Oryctolagus cuniculus: one gene and its partner. The protein of the gene in region 1 purifies or fractionates together with the protein of each later gene. This does not show direct contact. Links are inferred from orthologs where the notes say so. Each region holds a gene or a part of one and is shown on either strand. Other genes may lie near its edges.

Region 1 (3,651 bases):
CCCTAGAGAATTCTGACTCCGCTCAGGTTCAGGCTATGTATCTGTTGCCATGACCCTCCCCGCTCAGTCTCAAGAAGCGAATATGGATTAATCTAAACCAGTCATTTAACTTCTCTTGCCAATGACTAGTTTAGGTATGGACACATGCTTGGCTCCAGCCAATGAGAGAAGAAAGGAAGTATAATGATCCACTTCTGAAAACAAATGTCCTTCCTGGCAAGGACAGGAAGACCAGCTGTTATGCAATCTAATAATTTATGAAGCAATTCTTGGGACAACCTTCTGCAAATACTCTCCTACCTAGTATATCCCTGATAAGTATGTTGGGCTCCACAAATTAATGTTATCTTTGTCCTTCTCTTTTCACTTAGATTAGGAATAAAAGATTTTTTTATAGGCACTTATTAGAAGGCATTATGGATTACTCTTTTTTCTTAATGGTCCTCTATTTCAAAACCAAAATGAAGTCCAATACTGACAAGGATTATAGTACTAGAGTTGATTTCCAAACCTGGGTAGAATAGTAATCCAATCAATATGAAAGCTACTACAGCCTAAATCCTTGAGACAAGGGCAACAGTGGAAAGATTATAGCTTTTTAAATCACAGGTCAGAGTAGAATCTCAGTTTTGCCACTTATTATGATTCAGTCAACTTACTTAACCCCTGCGAGTTCACTTGACAAGAACAGTGCTATGAGGACAACGAAGAGAAAGTATGAGGCTTCTAGAGTGACGAGGGCAGACAGCTTTCTAAATAAGCTCAGCACTCTATTCAATGCTCTGAGTTTCAATTCAAATTTAGGGGGCCGGCGCCATGGTGTAGCGGGTTAAGCTGCCGCCTGCAGCACCAGCATCCCATATGAGTATGAGTTCGAATCATAGCTGCTCCACTTCTGATCCAGTTCCCTGTTGATAGCCTAGGAAAGCAGCAGAGGGTGGCCCAAGTGCTTCGGCCCCTGAACCCACATGGGAGACCCAGAGGAGGCTCCTGGCTTTGGATCACATCAGCTCCAGTCCGTGTGGCCATTTGGGGAGTGAACCAGCATATGAAAGATCTCATTCTCTCTTTGTCTCTTTCTTGCTCTGTAACTCTGTCTTTCAAATAAATAAATCTTTTTTAAATTTTAAATTTAAATTTTTTAAAAATTCAAATGCAGTTATATTACTCATTATGAGTTATACAATTTTACACTGATGGCTCTTCCAATCCTTTTTTTTTTGTTAAAGATTTATTTATTTATTTGAAAAGCTGAGCTACTAGAGAAAGAGAGAGAGAGGTCTTCTATCTGCTGGTTCACTCCCTAAATGGCCACAACGGCCGGAGCTGGGCCAACCTGAAGCCAGGAGCCAGGAGCTTCTTCCAGGCCTCCCTCATCAGTTCAGGGGCCTAAGGGCTTAAGCCATCTTCTACTGCTTTCTCAGGCTGTAGCAGAGAGCTGGATCAGGCGCAGAGCAGCCGGGACTTGAACCAATGTCCACATGGGTTGCTGGTGAGACAGGCAGTAGCTCCACTCACTCCGCCACGGTACCGGCTCCCTCTTTCAATCCTTACAACCCTGTGTTCATGGATAATTTGTATTGTGAAAAATCTATGTGTGGATTTCAAAATTTTTCAGACCAAAACACTTATTTTTAATTCCATTTTTCCATGGACCTTTGAAGCCCCCTCATACGTCCATTTTGAATATAAAGAACTTGAAGATCACAGAGTAAGGGACTTGGCTCAGGGTCCCATTAGTTAGATGATAGCAGAGAGGTAGGTTGTAAACACAGCTCTTCTGACCCCAAGACCAAAGCTCTGTTCATTTTGATTCTGTGCTCACAATATTGTTTCAAGTTTTGCCCAAACTACTAACTAATCCATCTCCTAACTATTCTTCATGTGCCCCAAATACAATCCAAATGTTAATCCATACAACACATACAAACTACTCTTTTCGAAATTATTTTAGTTCCGTTTATTTAATTCCTTTATAAACAAACTTTAGCTTACTTGTCTACAAATATATTAAAAAACAGTAAGACATAAGTATAAAAGGAAGTTACGTCACCTTTTCTGCATTTGCAGGCACAATCACCACACACACACACACACACACACACACACTTACATCAAATGCCAAATTAGATTCTTACCTTAGTTAGATCCATTCCGAGCCTAACCTGTGACAAGAGGTGCATGATAACACTCTTGTGCTCCTCCACTGACCCTGCCTCTCCGTCATCATCTCTATCGTCATGCGAATCAAAAAGGTCTAAAATAAAACACATCTTCTTAGGCTGGTATTTAATTGGGCCAATCTGTGCTGCTACCAGTATTATAAATGTTTCTTACAAAAAGAAAAATTCTCAAAGGTCATTACCTGCATCACTTGTTCCATTAGACATGGAGGAATTAAGTGATTCTGTGGTATCTGGACGCTTCATACTATTTCCTGAGCTGCTGTGTGTCAAGACAGAGGCAGATCCAGAAGAACTAAAAACAAAAACATGAACATTAATCACCATCTTCAGCTAAGGAATGCATTTAGGATCATAGACATCAATTTACAAAACTTCTTAAAACCAATAATACAAGTAGGTGACAGAAACGGACTAGAGTCTTACAGTCTGCTGGTTACTGACATATGTAAGTGCTTTCAACCAACTCCCTGTCACCCCCATTCCAAGACTAGAAATAAAAGTCTCTCATCTTAAACTGCCTGAATAGTGTTTAGCCAAGCCATGCTGAAACGCTAGCATAGATACTTTTAAAAATTTACTGACATTTTTACCTCTGCATACAAGTTTAAAATGAGTTCATTTTCTGATTTTGTTGCCTTGTATAAACACACCTATGAAAAAATTTTTCACAACAACTTCTAGAACAGTCTTACTAAGTGCTAGAGCATATCAGGTCTACAATTTTTGAGATCCTTTGATAAAAGCCCACATCAATAATAACACTATTCCCAGTTATTTAAAAAGTTTCCTTGAAAACTACAAAATGTATAAAATCCTATTGCTTTTTCATTTTAGTGATAGAGTTACAGACAGTGAGAAGGAGACAGACAGAAAGGTCTTCCATCCACTGGTTTGTTCCCCAAACGGCCACAATGGTTGGAGCCAGGAGCCAGGATCTTCTTCTGGGTGTCCCATGCAGATGCAGGGGCTGGCCCAAGTGCTCAGGCCATTGTCTACTGCTTTCCCAGGCCACAGCAGAGAGCTGGACTGGAAGAGGAGCAGCCAGGACTAGAACCAATGCACATATGGTATACTGGCCACCACAGGTCGCAGATTAACCTATGGCACTACAGCACCAGCTCCAAATCCTATTACTTTTTTTTTTTTTTTTTAAAGATTTTTATTTATTTATTTGAGAGGTAGAGCTACAGATAGTGAGAGGGAGAGACAGAGAGAAAGGTCTTCCTTCCGCTGGTTCACTCCTCAGATGGCCGCAATGTCCAAAGCTGCGCCGATCCAAAGCCAAGAGCCAGGAGCTTCTTCCTGGTCTCTCACATGGGTGCAGGGGCCTACTACTTTCCCAGGCCATAGCTGAGAGCTGGATTGGAAGAGGAGCAGCTGAGACTAGAACCGGTGCCCATATGGGATGCCGGCGCCGCAGGCAGAGGATTAACCTACCGTGCCACGGCGCCAGCACTCCTACTAC
Region 2 (3,651 bases), on another chromosome or scaffold:
ACGTGAGGGTGGCTACAGTGGAGGACAGGGAAGTCCTAGACAGTTCTGCACAGCTGGGGCACAGAATGTCAAGAAGGGAAGAAGCAAAAGGGGCCAAAACAATGCTGAGGCCAGCCACAGCTTCCAGGGTGACAGCTGAGGAAAAGGACGGTGGGTCTTGAGAAGCCATGGTCAGACTGTTAAAAGGGGTAGGGTTAGCGATAAAAAGACCAGAGCAAAATGGCCTAGCTATTCCCATTTCCTTCACTTTCATTTCTATCAACTTATTTACAACTTATTTTCAATCCACAGGACTTACTCTCAGGTGTCGATTTTCTTCTGAAAGCTTCATCATTTCTCCCTGAAGTCTTTTACACTCTTCCATGAGCTTCCTTGTTTCGGTATCATTGAGGGAAACACTGTGCGGTTTTGGCATGGGTCCATCTTGCTTCGATGCATTCAGTGGAGCAGCTTTGCTAGGTTCCATGTCATTCTGTATTACAAAGATATCGGGAATTTTTAAACTAACCAAATATAGATTTTAAGTAAATAAAAATATACATTTCACATCCTTCTTTTCCAAAAATTCCTTAAAAGTTTTGACAATTTTTAATTTCATTAATAATAACTTTAAGTACCACATGTATGGTCATCTGTGAATAATTTTAAAAAGGACTAAATCATTAGATGTCAGCATTTGGATAGTCAAAACAAGCAGCCCACTCCCTCCTCTACTCCCATAACTCTTGGCACTTACCTCCACCATAGCACTTATATCATAATTATATATTTTTGAAGTTGCTTCCTACAATACTTCAAAGGCTGGGAGGGTAAGAGCCATTTCTCTTTGTATTTACCCCTATAAACCCAGCACTTTGGCCAATGGTAGTTATTCAATGAAAGCATGCTGAATGACTGATGCCAATCAAAATCCAAATAATGAAGGTCATTTTCAGTGCTCTGATTCTGCAATTCAAATAAGGTTCTAGGGGTAGGGGAGTATATCGTAATCATTCCAGTGACATTAGGAACTAGCTAAGAAAAAACATTTCAAAGAAAACTAACTGCTATTAGTGGGAAAAAATAACTGGATGGTATAAATACTGAATAAACACAAATATATGGCAAAAAAGGGGGGAGGGAAGGGTGTAAAGAATCTATGATCTAAAACTTGAACATAAATGATTCCTTCAAATTATTAGTAATAATTTGCTTTAATGCATGTGCTTAAATATGGAATACTACACCTCAGTAGTAGTTAATGTATTTTTAAAACTATGAGCGCCCAAACCTTAATTCTTACCAACTCTTAAGCACTTCAAACTAGAGGTAAGGGCCTGGTGACGAGTACCAAGGGCAGTTGCTAAATGGTCCCGAAGCCCAGGGTCTAAAGTGCCCCAATATCTGTCACGCTAGCATCACTTACAAATGCACTCTCTAACAGTACTAACAAGCCTTTTTCATTTACATTTTTACTTGTTAAACGTTTCTTAGATAGACATAAACCTGTTTTAGTCACATATAAACAAAGACATTTACAAAATTAACTTTTACGGTGTCCCACAGCACTCATTTGCAAGATTTATTACAGGCTGCACATCTCAGCAGCAAAATTTATAATACGTATAAAGAAATGGTTTGTTCAAGAGGCAAACTAGTATTTCTTATGAAGACGTGACTTAATCAGCATGCCTAAGTCAGTGTAAAAATGATTCATGTCATAACGAGGTTCTAACACACAACACTGTGTATGTCTGACCTGTCAGTGGATTCTCCCCTTTCAGGTTTCTCAGGTAAGATTTTTTTACTGAAGCCTATATTTCAGTTTGTCCCCACACTTTTCTCTTGCTAGTGTTCTTGTTCTTCACTCTAATCTTCACCATACCCATCTAATCCAACTTCACTATCAAAACTCTGGTTCAGATACATTTTCTTCTCTGCCAATACTCTTTCCTATTCTTTTTAAAGTGACTAAAATTCACTTTAAAATCATTTTCTCATGTGCTCATATTCCATCCTAGTACCAGCCCAACTTATCACAACGAAGGCAGCACGCTGTCTTCCTCTGTAAAAGCAGCAATAATAGTCAACAACATGGCAAGTGAAGAACATTGAGCCTTCAGGCTTTTGCTAAGAATTGAGAAAAAATATTCTCTCACCAAAAAGCTAAGAAACTCAAAGTATATACATGAAGTCAACAGTGAAGAGAAAAAAATTAACTAAGAATCATCAAGGGCTTCCTAAGTGGATCCTTATTAAATAAACTCTTGAAATTCAAGAAAATTTTAAATTATGAGGGAAGGCAAGGAAATCATCCCCCATCATTTCAACAGTGCAGCATATTATTCACATTCCAATATTTTTCATATGCATTTTTATAAAAATCAACACTTTTTACCTTGCGTTTCATTTATACACACATAATTATCATCTTAAATAACGCAGTAGGTCATTACACATTCTGTGGCTTACCAAAATAATTAATACCTTTCATTTTGGTTTAGTGTATTAGAGGAGTCAGTGGTGTAGCACAGTGGGCTAAGCCACTGCCTGCAACACCAGCATATGAAAGTCATCTCAAGCCCTCGCTGCTTCACTTCCAATCCAGCTACCTGCTAACGTGCCTGGGAAAGTAGCAGAAGTTCTTGGGCCCACACAGGAGACCAAGATGAAGCTCCTGGGGGTCCTGGCGTTGGTCTGGCCTAGACACAGCCATTGCAACCATTTGGGAAGTAAATCAGCAGATAAAAGATCTCCCTCTCTCTCTCTCTGTGTGTTTCAAATAAATATTTTTTAAGTTGTTTGTTAAAATAGTTGCTTCTCATTCTTTGGAGTTTTAAACAATACAACATTGAGTATCTTCTTATGATGGTAGAATTAAATTTTTCTTTGTTTACTGAAACCTTTCTTAATGATGTTGTACTTAATTTATAATTATAAAAAAATGTCATAACCAATTTGTAGAGTATAAACACAAGACTGGAATGCAAAGGATATAGGGAAATGTAAACATACCTCAAAACTGAGTTATGGAACAAGTTATACAGAATAGTTGTATCATAATACTACTTAGTCCCCCTACAAAACAGTCAACATACATAGCAGATGCAAATAAATCTAATTTATTTATGCATATTTAAAATATAAGCATATATAATCTGAGTTGGAGGTTAAAGGGGGGAAGGACGAGCTTAGACATTCATGTAGTGACAATCTGATGACCCTGAGGAGAAACACTAGGCAGGTGTGACTTTAAGTATATGCTTCCATTCAGGAGCTCCATTAATGAGGTTTGGCTCCAGGAAAACAGCTTGTTCCTTGAGTTGCTTCAGACTGGTCCAGAAAGAGGAGACTGGTTGTTCTGAGAACCATGAAATAAGCAAACTAAAGGAATTGAGCATGTTGTGACTCTTAGTAAAAAGTGATGCATAGTAACATTGCATTAACATTATATTTAATACAACTTAGAATAAGCTCAAAGGTCAAAGTTGTGCATCAATGAAGACAACTTATCAATCTGTTACACATTTTCCACTATTTTATATTATTTAGCCTACTGCAGTAGCCCTCTATATCTATGAGCTGTACTTCTGCATTCCTTTTCAACAACCATCGTAACTTCAATTCTAATACTACAATTGGAAATAAAAGGGGAAAGGTAGAAGGCAGACA

Evidence for each region. Proteins that work in one complex are often made in the same cells at the same time.
Region 2: the proteins of OSBPL9 (region 1) and VAPA purify together in Homo sapiens (co-immunoprecipitation; 5 studies listed by BioGRID and IntAct, counting the BioPlex papers as one, with this or other methods). This does not show direct contact. The link is inferred for Oryctolagus cuniculus from reciprocal best matches to the Homo sapiens genes OSBPL9 and VAPA.

Annotation. Positions count from the first base shown.
Region 1 is NC_091438.1:121,155,453-121,159,103, forward strand, and holds part of OSBPL9 (oxysterol-binding protein-related protein 9), read right to left. Parts: intron 2,479-3,651; coding exon 2,366-2,478; intron 2,258-2,365; coding exon 2,139-2,257; intron 1-2,138. UniProt on the Homo sapiens protein: Interacts with OSBPL11 to function as lipid transfer proteins.
Region 2 is NC_091441.1:67,118,455-67,122,105, reverse strand, and holds part of VAPA (vesicle-associated membrane protein-associated protein A), read right to left. Parts: intron 473-3,651; coding exon 299-472; intron 1-298. UniProt on the Homo sapiens protein: Endoplasmic reticulum (ER)-anchored protein that mediates the formation of contact sites between the ER and endosomes via interaction with FFAT motif-containing proteins such as STARD3 or WDR44.